Linked DNA regions of Schizosaccharomyces pombe. The gene in region 1 interacts genetically with each later gene. Each region holds a gene or a part of one and is shown on either strand. Other genes may lie near its edges. The genes, in order: spp27, tma22, ntp1 and cyb502.

What was found.
Region 2: mutations in spp27 (region 1) and tma22 together harm fitness less than expected from each alone (positive genetic interaction), as found in Schizosaccharomyces pombe (one large-scale study listed by BioGRID).
Region 3: mutations in spp27 (region 1) and ntp1 together harm fitness less than expected from each alone (positive genetic interaction), as found in Schizosaccharomyces pombe (one large-scale study listed by BioGRID).
Region 4: mutations in spp27 (region 1) and cyb502 together harm fitness more than expected from each alone (negative genetic interaction), as found in Schizosaccharomyces pombe (one large-scale study listed by BioGRID).

Annotation. Positions count from the first base shown.
Region 1 is NC_003421.2:1,829,983-1,834,734, forward strand, and holds spp27 (RNA polymerase I upstream activation factor complex subunit Spp27), read left to right. Parts: upstream 1-2,000; coding exon 2,001-2,193; exon of another isoform or gene 2,194-2,265; coding exon 2,266-2,477; exon of another isoform or gene 2,478-2,610; coding exon 2,611-2,760; exon of another isoform or gene 2,761-2,814; intron 2,815-2,931; coding exon 2,932-3,078; 3' UTR 3,079-4,187; downstream 4,188-4,752. Other genes in the region: msh6 (DNA mismatch repair protein), read right to left, coding at 1-990, 1,106-1,699; hel2 (ubiquitin-protein ligase E3), read left to right, coding at 4,631-4,727. UniProt on the Schizosaccharomyces pombe protein: Component of the UAF (upstream activation factor) complex which interacts with the upstream element of the RNA polymerase I promoter and forms a stable preinitiation complex. UAF seems to stimulate basal transcription to a fully activated level.
Region 2 is NC_003423.3:4,334,025-4,336,983, forward strand, and holds tma22 (mitochondrial translation initiation factor), read left to right. Parts: upstream 1-1,568; 5' UTR 1,569-1,594; coding exon 1,595-1,663; intron 1,664-1,716; coding exon 1,717-2,220; 3' UTR 2,221-2,456; downstream 2,457-2,959. Other genes in the region: protein Dbl6, read left to right, coding at 126-1,178.
Region 3 is NC_003423.3:204,559-210,184, forward strand, and holds ntp1 (alpha,alpha-trehalase Ntp1), read left to right. Parts: upstream 1-2,022; 5' UTR 2,023-2,519; coding exon 2,520-4,727; 3' UTR 4,728-5,083; downstream 5,084-5,626. Other genes in the region: protein wwm2, read left to right, coding at 91-912; protein Atg38, read left to right, coding at 5,244-5,267, 5,364-5,626.
Region 4 is NC_003423.3:2,574,131-2,577,176, reverse strand, and holds cyb502 (cytochrome b5), read left to right. Parts: upstream 1-1,711; 5' UTR 1,712-1,748; coding exon 1,749-1,896; exon of another isoform or gene 1,897-2,080; coding exon 2,081-2,234; exon of another isoform or gene 2,235-2,282; coding exon 2,283-2,355; 3' UTR 2,356-2,514; downstream 2,515-3,046. Other genes in the region: SPOM_SPBC2G5.01 (Ca(2+) binding protein), read right to left, coding at 1-556; Ragulator-Rag complex subunit Lam1, read right to left, coding at 2,690-2,900, 2,963-3,040.

The DNA.
Region 1 (4,752 bases):
AGTCGAGGTATCAATGAAGCAGATACCAAAAGAAGGCTCTTCGTTGTCAGATTGAAGACTTTCTTTAATAGCCATACAATATGTTGACAAGTCAGAAGTCAGCATTGCCTCGTCAACAAGGGTCCCGCTCGTTAAGACTTGGGTAAGGCCTCGCTGAACTACTTTTTCTTCCTTCTGAGTTCGTTGACGATCTTTTATTTCTTTACCTAAAGCGGTTTCCAATTGGTCGACTCGAGCTATACGATACCCCTTTGCAATGAATTGAGATGCCCAGTAATCAAAACTTGCTTCAGGAATTCCAACCATCTTCATATTAACTCTATCAGTTAACTTTAAGGAAAATACCTGATGTCCGATAGCGGCATCATTCTCATATAACTCATAAAATTTTCCCTTCTGAAAAAAAACAACTGTATCCATAAGGTCCTTTTTAATTTTCCAAAATTGTTTCTCAAATGGCTTGAAAGTTGCCCAAGCTGAAGGTGGGATATACAATGTGCGCGGATCATAATTAGGATCACCCACTCGATTTTGATCAGCATCTCGAACATCTAGCAACCACTCGTAACGTTCGTTGTTTTCTTTTTTAAATGCCTCCATTCTTTGCCTTCTTTTTTCTTCTCTGTTCAGGACACCGTTTTTATTCGATTTTGTGGGAGATGCAGAACCCGAGACCGAAGGGCTTGGACTGGCAATTTGAGAGCCTAGCCGATAACTTTCATACAAAGAATTGGAACTCTCCTTTCGAGATTCCTTTTTGGGAATTGGAGCAGCCACAGAAACGGAATGATCTGAATATCCATCAACATCCTCATCCATAGATTCGACTTCATCAATAGGCAAGGATGCCTCAGATGAGGCTTCCGAAATATGATCGGGCTCAACGTAGTCATCCGATTCGTCATCAGAAACGATTCTTTTATGACGAGATCCTTTGGTAGGTGCATCGTCGAAGTCTTCGTCTTCATCACTTTCAGCGTAGGAAACAGGCTAGCATATTGTTAGTCATAATTAATTAAAACAAAAATCTGGTTAATATAGGGGTAAAGTGCGTATTTCCCCTTTTATTCTTCTAAAGTAATATGTATCACTCAATTACCCATACCTTCCTTGAACGCCGAGAAGCTATAAAAGGCTTGTCGACTTCAGATAATTCCGAATTTTCCAGCTTCGACGAGACAGGATGACGAAATTGATCTTCAGCTTGAAATATTGATGTATCCAAACTTTTAAAACTTTTCTTTTTCGTCGGAGAATCGATTTCTTCTTCAGAGTCGGGCTCTTGCTTCACAGACGTGCGAAGCAATTTACCTGGTGACTCCTCGCCCAAAGAATCATGAGGGCGTTTAGGAGATGATCGGTGTAGGCTGCTAGAAAGCGGTGAGGAAAATGGATCACTTGATGGAGGAGGAAGCATAGATGAACTGGAATCTATCTCGGTATTCGCATGATGAGAAGGACTCGTTGGCAATTCGCGTTCCGGAGACGAAGAGTTTTTGTTCACATTGGAGCTGTTGTCAACATCAGCAGGCGTATCATGATTAGAGTCGTGATTCGAACTACTAGATAATGTAGAATCCGACTTCTCTTGTTTCACATTCGGGATTTTGGAGAAAAACCCAAAGAGGGTTTTCTGCTTTGTTTTAGCTGATGAATCTTTTGTTTTCTCCCTTTGCTTGCCAACGTTCCCAACGCTCATACTGGAACAAGTGTTGGTTTTGGCTAAGTTCAGTTATTTACAAAAAGCAGCATTCTAATAGTAAACAAAGCTAACATGAGAGCACAAAATAACATATATAATTTCCATTATTTTTAGTTTTACAAGAAATTAAATTGAAGCTTTATGTATTTACATCTGTAAAAATAGCGTGTTTTTCAAAATCGCATTTAGCTACACCAGCGCTCTTTCCTTCTTTACCGTAATCTATATCCACTACCACCGTCTCACTACACCATACTTTGACCAACACAGTAAGGTGGTAGTATAAAGAACTAGAACGATGGAAGAGTACGAAACAGACATTAAGCAAATTCTCGGTACAGTTGATCGCCAAACTGTATCTGCGAAGCAAGTTCGTCAACTTTTAGAAGAAAGAAGAAAGGTAGATTTGAGTGCGCATAAAAAAGACTTGAATGCGCTGATTTTGAAATGCTTTGATGAAACCGCCGCACCTTCAGAGAAGGAGAGTTTAGGTAAGATGAGAATATTGCTGGAAGAAATTTGCAAATAATAATGCAAGAAATAATAATTAACCAAACTTGTAGAAAAACAAGCACCCGCTCGCAAAACCAAGGGTAAGAGAGCGACGGAAAATGGCACTGAAGAAGGCAAGAAACCAGCAAAGAGAACCCGAAAACGCAAGGAAGATGGAGAAGAGGGTGGAAAACGCAAGAGGAACCAAGATCCTGCCAACAATCCTCTGAATAAGCCTATGAAGTTGTCCCCTAAGTTGGCCGAATTTTTGGGTCTTGAACAGGTAAGGCGGTGTTGTAGTGTGGAAGCCGTGCCTACTCGTTCCATTCAAAATCTTGTTGTTTTGAAAAAAGAGGCAGGCTTACATACTAAATGTTTATTTGCACGCTTTCTCTGCTGATTGCTAACTAACGTAGTTATCTCGTCCCCAAACTGTGAAGAAGTTATGGGAGTATATAAAAGCACATGACTTACAAGATCCCAACGACAAGCGAACAATTCTTTGTGATGACAAATTGAAAAGCGTTTTCGAAGTCGACACTTTGCATATGTTTACCATGAACAAGGTAAGTTAATCATGGATGGGTTCACAATTGTTTTAAGGAGGTTTGTCAACAAACTTTTACTTTGTCGATTGTAACTTTCCTTGTCTACTTTTTTCATTTGGTTACTTGTGGAAAACATTCCGCATTGCTCTTTGTTACCTGCTGCCGAAGCTAAGCTAACTTAATTAATAGTACTTAACAAATCTCATGACGAAGATTCCTGATGATCAATTGCCCAAACCTCAGCCTAAAAATGAAGAACCAGCGGCTCCGAACGATCTTCCCAAGCAGGAGGAAAAAGAGTTGGTCGAGCCTCCTACCGCCGAATCCACCGCTTGAGCCTTTGTGTTTGCTGCATGACCATATAAAACAGCCAAAACTTTTTTTCATATAATATCTTGCAATAATCCCTTTTTTTTTTGTCTCCAAAAATCATTCAAGTTTTTTGCTTTCATTGCATGCAATAAATGTTTATTTCGTTCAATACTCGCTTGCTTACCTGTTTTTCCTCAACAGATTTTGCCTATGTCCATGTCATATCCGTGCTTTAATACTAGAGGCTATGTATGTCTAGAGAGTCTCCACGCATAATCAGATATCGTATTTTGCATTACAACTTTCTGATCTTAAATGCAGTGTGAAAACAAAAGTTCAGGTTGCTGACTTTAGACCTTGGGTTGCTACAAGAGGTAATTTACGTTAGACTGACTGTGATTTTACGAATATTTCTTATCACCTATTCCTTATGGATATCTTTGTGCTTTTTTTTATAAATTCATATAGCATATTGATTTTCTTTTCTAAATGAACTGTTGTGCATGATGGAGATTTTCATGTATTGTATTAACACTTTCTTCACCGCACCTTTAATTATTTTACCGCTGCTTTGCTCTATAATATCATTGAAATAAAAAATGATTCACTTCAGCCCATTGTCGGGGAATTTTGTTTACGAAACCACCGTCGCTTGGAGCTGTCGAAGCCATATCATCAATAATAAATTTTATTTACTACCCTTGCGTATTACAAACCCATAATATGATGTTTGCTTTACAGTTTTGGATGATCTAAGATATGGCTTGGTTGTATGACTAGTACTCGTCTTGTGTCTATAGTGTATATATTAAATTATACGCAAATGGATGTTTTCTGGATATATGCTTTTAAGTCTCAAATAATGTACTGTCTTTTTAATTTGTTTATTATTTTATTTTGGGATTTTCTTTGGGGTTGCAAACCTGTCATCCGTTTGTTAGAGTATGTTTACATAAACATTTTTGTGTGCTTGTGGGTCGTTTTTTTTTTGGAAGATTGCTGCTTATAACCGTCAAAAGACTTATAAATTGATTAGACTGAGTGGAAAGTGTTCTTCTCTTTTATATTAGTCCTTAATGAATATACTTATTATTGATTGAATCATTTCATGGTGTTTACGACTTCTAAAGATCCAATCACACTTTAGATGAAGCCACATTTAACAGTTGTAACAATTGCATTTATTTGTAGACAGGACAACGCTTGCTTACATACATACACGACTTCTTGTTTAAGCACAAAGTAAAAAGATTATGGCGAAAAAGTTAGGGGAATATTTTTTTCAAAACAAATTAGTAAATTATATAAGCCCTTTATAAGAGATTGCTATTTACTTCCGCTGTACATTCAATGCTATATACGTTTCTAACAAAATATTCGATGCACGTTTCAAAAATCAATTCAGAAGCTTAAAAACTTTCCAATAATGTTGAAATTATAAATATATTCTTAGTTTGCGATATTCCAGCTAATTCAGAGGTCTCCAGCTAAACTGTTTTTTTTAGCATACAGCAGCTCGCTTTACGAAATTTTATTTACCCAGCGCCATACACGCAATCTTCTATAAACAATCAAAATGTCGCCTTCGGGCCCCAATTTAAATAATAAGGAGCACAACAGAGCATCGGAAAAAAAGAATTCTAGGACTCATAATAAAAAAACTAATAGGAATCGTACGTAACTTCCTTGTTGACATAT
Region 2 (2,959 bases), on another chromosome or scaffold:
CCTCGTCAATACGAATTTTTTTCAATTGTAAAGCATATGCAATAAAATATAGAATGATTATTTAATATAGGGCCTTTATATTATTTTTAAGTCTTTGTGGTATTTTGTAGGGATATACTGTCGAAATGGATTCATTTCATCCAACACCTGGAAAACCGACCACAGCAACATCAAATTCAAGTCTGAACTTTTTTGTAAGAAACAGAGAGAAAAGTATTAGGTGCTCAAGCTTGCATCAAACTTTTACAGCCCCTTCTCCTGAAGCTTCACCGTCAATCGGATTAAGATATGTAAATTACTCAATGAGCGACGAAACTGATGAATCTATGTTTCCACTTGATTCAGAACTGACCGATATGGAAGATGATGATACCGAGTACATATCAGACTCTACAACAGACTTGCCGTCCGCTGCCATGGCTAGAGGAACTAGGCAGTTGAGTTACAATGAAAATTTGGATCAGCGTTCGTTTTCTAAGACTCCAAATAAACATATTGAAGTAAAAAATTTAAAGGACCTTTGTAGTCCCTCTCATTCTGGAAGAATTTCGAAATCTTTGTGTCCTGTGTTACGAAGAAAGTCTTTGCTTCCCAAACCGAAAATGTTCCAACGCGTAGCCAGTGCCTTGTATGAAGAATCATCTCCTCTGGAGTTGGAAATCCGTAGTGAATCGGAATTTTCCAAGATGTTTTTCGAGCCTAAAAAATCATCATCCTTTGTTTCTAGAGCTGCTTCGCCTGCAATGGTAGGTCCGGGTGTACCGTTTTACAGTTCTATAACAGGTGCAAATGGTAATGTTCTCGCACCATCAGGATCTTTGAAAGCTGTTGAGAACTCTGATGTAATTGAGTCATCTGCAGAGGACAGTAGTAATACGGACAATCCATCTACTAAGCCTTCGAATGAGATGCCCATATCTCCTCTGCTTTCCAGTTCTGTATTTTTTAAGGATACAGAAATGTCAACTCCGAATAGCAATCACTCCAGATCCCGTACCCCATCCTCGAAAAAGCGAACTCGATGGGGCGAAGAAATAATCGACTTATCGAAGAGAAGAGCTGTATCTCCTTCCATTTATTATGATTTGGATAAGAAATGCTCTCCTATTCATTCTGTTATGGTCAGCCCCTTGAAGATTAAGGATACTCACGAAGTCTTGATGAATTTAAAGTTATGAACTAGCTCACGCTGCGAAGTGTGTATTTATTTGTACAATAATTGAATAATTAATTTCCTATCTTTTTACGCAACTTATTTTGTAGTAGCTTTTTATCATGTTGAATCTAGTTTACAATGTTACAGCGCCGTTATTTTTATTACTCTTTATAAAGAACAGCTTGTTATCATATCATTGTTTTGATATGTAAACAAAAGTCCTAAAAATCCGTTTACGGTTTCAGCAGCATAACATTATATTCTAAAATTTAAAACGACTTGAGATGTGAATTACTTTTTATTTAACGAATAACTTACAGCTTTTAAGCATATTTTACTCTCATAGTATATTTAGGCTTCGCCTCTTTGAATCTCGCTTTCTATTTTCGTTCCCCCAGGTAGTCTCTACTTTAACCTATACTGCAAGAAACTCAAATAATGGCTTCACAAACCATCCCGAAGTTAAAATCAGTATTATACTGCGATGTTTGTACATTGCCCGTGGAAGTACGTAATAAACAACTTGTTTTATAATTATATTAACTATGAATGCGTTGTAGTACTGCGAATTTGAGGGCACTTTAAAAAAATGTAAAGAATGGCTTAAATCATCTCACCCGGACGTTTATGATAAATTGTACGGTGAGCAAGACTTAAGCAAAGACCTTGAAAACACTCTGAATGTTAGCGGAACTAAAGATTCTAATGCAGAAGAACAACCGGCAAAATTGACGAAGGAGGAAAAGCGCGTTGAGCGTGAAGAAGCCAAACGTATGGCATCCAAGGTTTTGATAAAAACCATTGAAAGAACTAAAAGAAAGAGAGTCACCACAGTTCAAGGTCTTGACGCATTTGGGATCGAAACGAAAAAAGCTGCTAAGATGTTGGCCAACAAGTTCGCGACCGGAGCCAGTGTCACTAAAACAGCTGATAAGAAGGATGAAATTGTTGTACAGGGTGATTTGAATTATGATATATTTGATTTTATTTTGGAAAAGTTTAAAGAGGTTCCGGAAGACAATATTAAAATTGTCGAAGATACGAAATCTAAGAAGAAGCAGTAATCTTAATTTTTATTTTTTAAAAATACTACTAAGTATGCTATTTTTGGGGCTATTTTATCATAAACTGTCTTGTACAATCTTGTACAACCTAATTTTCTGTTAAATGGTTGCACAGTTAGGATACCGGTTTTTAATAATTTATTGAGACTCATGTTTTTTAATGTTTCTATATAAAAAATGCCTAATTATCAATATTTTACAATTTATTGCCTGTTGTATTAGTATGATGATTTGAAGTCACCATTTGTTTACTTACATTTCATTGCCAAGGCTATAGAGTAGTATTAGCATTCGTTGTGTATGCCATGAATTTCTTAGCAGTTAAAAATTGAAATTGTGTTTCTTTACGCCTTTTTGGACGTTATCAGCATACAAAATAAGGCAGCTTAGTAGTTCATTAAGAAAATGTTGTCTTGAATGTAGGAATAAATTATATTTTGACAAAGTAATCGATTCTACAAAGAATGCTGTGATCATTGTCACCTTTTTAAATTTGATAAAATTGATTTACTATGCAAATAGTTGTAGCTTCATTATTAACTAAGAAGAACCGTGATAATAACATTACTCAGTAGCTAGTTCTTCAGTGTACTTAACTTTCAGGGGACAGGATTTTAATATCGATACAAACACTTAAGAGATCCGAATGCGTATTTCGTTATTGAAGTTTTTGAGTCATTTGCGTTGAGGCGCATTAAGCAATGCTGATGGGGAAGTTGACGATTTCACCATTCGAACA
Region 3 (5,626 bases), on another chromosome or scaffold:
TTTCTTTTCTTTGGTTAGAATCTTTCTAAGCCTCTATATCGTTTATATAGGTTTTTACTCTGTGTCTTTACAGAATTAATCATATAAAAAATGTCTGTCTATCAAACTCGTGAAGGTTTGCCCAGTGGATGGGTTGCTCAATGGGATGCTGAATATGGAACATACTTTTATGTTAACGAGTCAGCTCAAAATCCACAGCCCCAATGGGAACCACCAGTCGAAAATCTGAAACTTGCTCCTCCTCCAGGAGCCACAAGCGTTAATACAGCTGTGTATAATAACAATAACAATACTTCTGCTGCGAATACGAATGCTGCATACAATGCTAATACTGCTGCAAATGCCAATGCTAACACTGCCACGACTACCAATGCTGCCGCTACTACCAGCGCTGCATATAACCCCAATGCCCCTGCCAATACCAATGCTGCATACTATCCTAATGCTGCTGCCACTACCACTACCAATGCAGATGGTAGTGATAAAGGGCTGTTCAGTGGGCTTACCTCTTCTAATGGCTACACCACTGGCAACTCTTACAGTAGACCAAGCTACGTTGCTCCTGTCGCTGCAGGGTTAGGTGGATTGGCCTTAGGTGGCCTGGCTTCACACGCACTTGGCAATCTCTTTCACCATCGTGGTCATAACGGTGGTGGTTTCGGAGGTTTTGGTGGTGGTTCTGGCGGTCCTCCTCCTGGTCCTGGTGGATTTGGAGGCTTTGGAGGCTTTGGAGGTGAAGGCCATCATCATGGTGGTCACGGTGGCTTTGGAGGCGGCCCTGGAGGTTTTGAGGGCGGTCCTGGTGGCTTCGGAGGCGGTCCTGGCGGCTTTGGAGGCGGTCTTGGAGGTTTTGGAGGAGGCCCCGGAGGCTTTGGGGGTGGTCCTGGAGGTCATGGCGGTCCTGGTTGGTGAGACTGAGAAACATGGAACTAAATATTTGTTTATGAGCTTTTTATGTGAGTATATTGCGCAATAGATATTAAGTCGATACCGTTAAAAAATTTTTTATGTTTATACTCAGTTATTTTGCTAAAGTGAAATTGAATTTTATTAAGGTAGGACTTTCTGAAAGTATTAAGTAGAGCTGGGCAATTTTAGAAGTGCACATAGAAAAGCTCGCAAGCAAGCAATTTTGATATCCCTGTGTTGTTGTTTTTTAGGTTTATGTAGGAATGATTCAATGCAACAGTTTAGATATAGGTAAACATAAGTGCTGTATCTATAGCTGTGGAAACAATTCATGCTTGTTCATACGTAACATTTTATGCGCAAGTATTAAAAGATTCTAAAAAATATCTATTATGTTCATTATCTCGCACACGTCAAACCCAGTCTACTTCGAAATGCGTACGTGTATACTTTGGCTGTATACAATCTGAAATTTGAAATTTAAAGCTGTCAGATTAGCTTCTATTAATATTGCGTAAATCGGTTAGTTCAGAGTCTTTTATCCCAATACTTCGTCAGATTTGTATACTTTCTTCATTAAAAGTACATGTTTATCTTAACATAGAAGAGGTAAGTACCGCTAATTAACCGAATTGCAACTTGTAATTATAACAGCCAAATCATTTCAAACCAGAAGAGTGCAAGTTTAAAAAAAAAACCGATAGAACAACATACAGTGCCGCATTCAAACTACACATACATAGGGTTTCATCTCGTGGTATATAACGAGTCAATAGAGCATTCTCAATGTTAAAAAATACGGAATATTGTGGTTCTTTACAAAACTCATTACCTTCTCAATAGTACCACTAAAATCAGTGATAACTGTTTCAGAGGCGTCCGTATATACCTTTTTTACTGTTGTATCTTAATTAGCCAATTTTCTCGTATCTTCTTTCTATGTTTCAGCTCATTGTTTTGATTATAGCGATGGTGTTCACCGTTGCTGCTATCCTATTGCCGCATCCTTAAACTTCCATAAGCTCTATAGGTGTCAGGTAGACTACGTCATTGAGTAACGAACTACATCAGCGTAAATTTGGTTTAGAATGTATGAGAACTTAGCAACTCCAAACCACAAATATCAACGACAGGATTATAGACTGATACATAGAAGAAACTAGCAGTTCTTTTAAAATTTTTTTAGGATTTAACGATTTATACCTATTGGGGTACTAAGAATTTGGTAGAGTTACTCAAATTCAGTTAAAGACACGGATTTTCCTTATACGTAATTAGTGTCGATTTTCTGAAATCTTGCTTGCTATTTTATAGCTTAGAACGAAAAAGCAGGAATTTGTTTTGTTTTGTTTTTTTAAAAAAAAAAACACTTTATCTTGTGAATTGCTTTGGAAAGTGAGCGTATTCCTCGTAGGAGCTTTTGAATTTTTGATATATCGTTAGCTTGTAGTGAAGGAAACGGAAGCCATCAACGGAATAACCTTGTTCTCCATCATTTGCTATCATTCGTGAATAGGAACAATAAAGAGAAAAAAAATACATTTTTAAAGAAGTTTATATATACATTGATCTAATAGTGAAAATATTTAACACGAATAAGTTTGTTTCATATGCCTTCGAAATTTTCCTCTAAATACGTGGATACAGAAGCCATTTCAAATGATGATGACAATCCCTTTGCAACCGCTAAGAGTTATTACTCCAAGGATACAGACTTGTCGACTCGGGTAAGTGCTGGCCGTCCTCGCACCTTATCCACTTCGATGGAGGCATCCGCCGCACCAACTATACCAGAATTAAAGAATTTACGTCGACGTGGAAGTCTTGATGAACATAAACAACCACGAAAATTTCTTGTTGATGTTGATAAGACATTGAATGCACTTTTGGAATCTGAAGACACCGACCGGAACATGCAAATCACCATCGAGGATACCGGACCTAAAGTTGTTTCCCTTGGCAGCGCTAGCTCGGGTGGATATCGCTTGTATGAGCTTCGCGGCACATATCAATTGTCAAATTTACTTCAGGAATTGACCTTGGCAAAGGATTATGGACGTCGATATATTTTACTTGATGAGCGAAGACTTAATGAAAACCCTGTGAACCGACTTTCTAGACTCATCAAAGGTACCTTTTGGGATGCCCTTACTCGAAGAATCGATGCCAGTGTTTTGGATGTTATTTGCCGTGATACCAAAGACCGATCAGGATCACACGTGAATCGAATTTATGTTCCTAAAGCCGAACAAGAGATGTATGAATACTATGTTCGCGCTGCTAAGGAAAGGCCTTACTTGAATTTACAGGTCGAATATCTGCCGGAAGAGATTACTCCAGAATGGGTGAGAGATGTAAATGATAAGCCAGGGTTACTTGCACTTGCAATGGAAAAATACCAAGATGATGAAGGCAATACACATCTTCGAGGTGTGCCATTTGTCGTTCCTGGTGGCCGGTTTAATGAACTGTACGGCTGGGACTCTTACTTTGAATCACTGGGTTTGCTTGTTGACGATCGGGTTGACTTGGCGAAAGGTATGGTGGAGAATTTTATTTTTGAAATTACCTATTACGGTAAGATCTTGAATGCCAACCGCACTTATTATCTTCTTCGCTCCCAGCCTCCATTTTTGACCGATATGGCCCTTCGAGTTTATGAACGTATAAAAAACGAAGAAGGATCTTTAGACTTTTTGCATCGGGCCTTTTCTGCGACTATAAAAGAATATCACACTGTTTGGACTGCCACTCCACGACTGGATCCCAAAACTGGTCTTTCCCGCTATCGCCCTGGAGGACTCGGTATTCCTCCGGAAACTGAAGCTTCTCATTTTGAGCATTTGCTTCGTCCTTACATGGAGAAGTATCATATGACTCTTGAGGAGTTTACTCATGCATACAATTACCAACAAATTCATGAACCCGCGTTGGATGAGTATTTCGTGCACGACCGCGCAGTTCGCGAAAGCGGGCATGATACTACTTATCGGTTGGAAAAAGTTTGTGCTGACTTGGCCACCGTGGATCTGAACTCGTTGCTATACAAATATGAAACCGACATCTCACATGTGATTTTAGAATATTTCGATGACAAGTTTGTACTTCCAAACGGAACTATAGAAACTTCTGCCATTTGGGATCGTCGTGCTCGTGCTCGTCGTGCTGCAATGGAAAAGTATCTTTGGTCAGAAGCTGATTCGATGTGGTATGATTACAACACGAAGTTAGAAACGAAGAGTACTTATGAAAGTGCTACTGCTTTCTGGGCCTTGTGGGCCGGTGTGGCAACTCCCCGTCAAGCCGCAAAATTTGTTGATGTTAGTCTTCCCAAGTTTGAAGTTGCTGGAGGTATAGTTGCTGGTACAAAGAGAAGCTTGGGTAAAGTGGGTCTTGATAATCCCAGCCGTCAATGGGATTATCCTAATGGCTGGAGCCCTCAGCAGATTTTAGCTTGGTATGGATTGATTCGATACGGATATGAAGAGGAGACTCGTAGACTTGTATATCGTTGGCTATATACTATTACTAAATCGTTTGTTGATTTTAATGGTATTGTTGTTGAAAAATATGATTTGACCAGACCAGTTGATCCACATCGTGTTGAAGCTGAGTATGGTAATCAGGGTGTCAATATCAAAGGCGTTGCTCGCGAAGGTTTTGGATGGGTTAATGCCAGTTACGAAGTCGGCCTTACATTCTGTAATTCGCATATGCGTCGGGCTCTTGGTGCTTGTACGACTCCTGATGTTTTCTTTGCCGGCATCAAGGAAGAATCTCTTCCTGCTTTCGAAAACCTTTCCATTCATAAAAATTAAGTTATCGTTTGCTTGAAAAAAATAATCGACTTTGTCTACTTTTTTAGTTGCCTTTAGCTTTATTCTCTTATTATGTTATTTTGGTTATCGACCGGTTAAAACCCATTGTTATGTTACATGTTATACCTTCCATTAAATCCTTCTACTATGAAGGTTCTATTTGGCGAATATTCCCTTACGAAACAATAGTTAATTCTATTTAAATTTATGAGTAAAGCTTATCACCAGCGATATTATTACTTTTTTACTTAAAAGAAAGAAGTAGTAAATGAATTTTTTACCTTACGATTCAATTCTAATTTATAATTTCCATGATAGTACTGTTGTTGCAGTTTTAGTCCGAATATAACTCTAATGTTTAATTTGGTGTCTATCACTTTATTAGTTTTTTTTTTGAAGGAATTGTCTTCTAGAAACTTATTTTGAGTTAATGTACCGTATTATGTCGTTCACATTTGTAGACAACATAAGTTGGCCACTTCCTTACACAACAACAGTATATTATTAAAATGTGTTATGGTTCGATATTCATTAAGAAAGGTAAGAGATGCTTAAAGAGATAAGGATATGAGTAAATTTAGTGTTTGAAGTTCGTAATTATCGTTCGCTTTTGAATGTGAATGTTAACAAAATTAGGCGCATGAATACGCCCGAGATGGGGAAAATCAGGAAGTTTTGGGAGAAATTTCACAAGCAATTATGTATTATGGATTAGCAAAAAGTCAGTTTGAAAAGATATGTCAGAACACAGCTCAGCCTCTTATTAAAAGATGCGCAAATAACCAAATCGAAGAGTTGATGGTTCGTATACGCGAGTTACGAGAATCATTGCCAAACAAACAAACACCAATATCAATGTCAATGTCTACGAGATTATCACCTATGTATACTTCTTCATT
Region 4 (3,046 bases), on another chromosome or scaffold:
GAACAATGGCGAAAACAAAACGCTCAGCCTTCAAGTTCTGGTCTGCAAGAGTTAAATCGAATTGAAAACGGTCAGCAACAGGTAAAACAGAAGACATAACGTTTCCCAGGAGGATTTCAACGATTTGATTAAGAGAGTAGGCTAACAAATCTTGACGAGGAAAAAGCTGAAGTGTTGTATACACATTCTTCACGTTGAGACGTCCAGTAAGATAGGAGCTAAACTCGGTAGGAGAGTCATAAATGATTGGAGAACTGTTAGGACCTGGTCCATATTGTGCAAACTGTTGGCGAAAGCTAGACTGTAAGGAACCATACCAGCGAGAAGCGATTTTTTGGTTTTTCTTCTTTTGCGTGATAAAAGAAAAAACATAAAGGAAAAAACAAGCAAGAATAACAAATTCAAGACGGAAATCTCTCCAATCGACATGCTTGAACATTCCTGGATTCTCCAACTCGGGATTCATATTGTAATCCTCTTCGTATTCATCTTCCTCATCAGCCAGTACTCCTTTAGCTAGTGCAAAAACTAGAAACAAAAGCTTTTTATTAATCATGGTTCCTCCGCTTGTAAATTTACTGACTTTCGTGAAAGAAAAAAGGGCACTGGTTGTACGAAGTGAGATTGAACGTGGTGAAATAAGTAACGAACGAGACAAGCCGGTTCCTAGAGTGGGAAGATTAACTAGTGTATATAGATAGTTTAAAATAAGTCGGTAACCAGAACATGTCGCGATGGTGTAGTTGGGAGCATGACAGACTGAAGATCTGTTGGTCATCGGTTCGATCCCGGTTCGTGACACTTTTTTTGACGTGGAGAAAACACTTTGTACTAGTTATATCCAACATAATTTTGAGGTTTTTTCTTTTTACTTATTTTTATTTTTCTAGTTGCTATATGTGAAGCAAAATTAGATAGCTAACGGATGCTCAAGAATATTGTACTGGCACTTCAGCTTGTTATTGCAAAAGTTACAAAAACAGTCTGCAAAGACAAACAAGCATAGAAGCTCAGTTGGTCTAAATGTATATTACTAGATCGGTTCTGTAATTATTGGTGTTTTATTAGCAATGAATGGTGCTTTCAACTGAATATATCCGACAGAGAAACTATATGGCGTTACAATTTTCAAAGGTAGTAGTTTATCTATTTGGTAAATGATAGTTGTACGAACTGCTACGCATTTACTCAAAATCTTAGTTACATTCATGCGTTCTATATAAAAGAAAGTCATTTTGTACTTGCTTGTTTACGTATACGATCGGTTAATCTCAACAAAGCAAATAAAAGGAAGCTAGTCACCCTGTTGTACTTTATACCTAGGACATATTTTTTTTTTCAAACATGTAACATACCGTTACTGAAGAATGTCATAAGCTTAACGCTAGCTAAATTAAGCTTGTATCAAAGTTGCGAGGGATATTGAGATCTATCGTTATTAGATCATTATAGATAAAAAGATATAAATGAGAAATCCTCCATACCTCAACAATAATTGTTTATTGGTAAAAAAATATTATTCCTATCCACTTTTTGGTTAAGCAGAAAATCTGGCAGAATTTTGTACATGCCGCTTTGCCTATCATTGGCTGCTAAATAAATTCCTTGAGCTCGTTTGTTCGATTATTTACTACTACCACACGATACCCTAACGTGAGATTTTCTCTACTAGCGATATCAAAACTTTCGCAAACTTTTTCCAACTCCCCTCAACACACGATTTTTATTATATAGATTTATTTATCAAGATGTCGGTGAAATACTTTGAACCTGAGGAGATTGTGGAGCACAATAATTCCAAAGACATGTACATGGTCATTAATGGAAAAGTTTACGACGTTAGTAACTTTGCTGATGATCATCCTGGAGGCTTAGATATAATGTTGGACTATGCAGGTAAATAATTCGACAAAACTTTTGTAGAAGTAAACACCATATTATGTTGGAGACTGCTATGCTCAAAAGCGATAGTATACTTTTAATCGCTATCGTTTCATTCATCAGTTCTTCACTTGTGTGCCTTCTTGATTAAAACATTGTATACGGCTTTTTAAACATGTCCACTAACTATTTGTTTTAGGCCAGGACGCCACTAAGGCCTATCAGGACATTGGACACTCTATTGCTGCAGATGAGTTACTAGAAGAGATGTATATTGGTGATTTAAAACCCGGAACTGAGGAGAGACTCAAAGAATTAAAGAAACCTCGTTCATTTGATAATGATACGCCTCCGTAAGAAAATGATTTGTGTACGATGGTTGTTTCATGCTAACAGAACAGATTGCCTCTATTAATCGCATTAATTGTCCTGCCAGCCATAGCAGTAATTGTGTTTGTTAAGCTTAACAAATAAACTTCGAAGGCTTGCCTATTTATTTTCCTAATCTTTATACCTTCTTTTGTTTTTCGCGATGTTAGTATCACTCAATATTATTATGGATAGCAATTGTTTTCAAGGCTTCTAAAGAAACAAAATAAACGTTAACTTAGAAAAATATATTTCTTAAATGTCTTCCTTCAGTAAGAGAGCTCTTAAAAACAATGAGTTCAGCTCGTAACATGTAATTAACTCATGGAGATATTAAACAAACCAAAAAAGTATAACAAAAAGATTTAGCTAATAGTAAAGAGGGAAGTATGTAATCAGAAGTGGAATATAACTAATGGAAAAATTAGTTCTATTGGGCTTATGAAGGACTTCCAGTAATATTCGGTTGGACTTTAGATAAATTGATTACCATCTTTCCTTTGATTTCTTTATCACTCAGCTTAATGTTGTTAATATCATCAATCAAAACACCTAGTTTCCTTATTATAAACTCGGTTTCCTGCTCGGTAGGTTTAGCAACATCGTATTTTGGATCTAAATTCAATGAGTCGATTTGATCTAATACCTCCCTATCGCAATCATTATGTTAATATAGTTTCTACTGTATAAAAAGAATTTATCAAAAGCTTACTCATAAATGTTGTCCCGAGGGTCTCGCTGAGGTGCTTCGGTTCTCAATCGTAAAGAAAAGACGTCAATGAATTTATTTCTATTT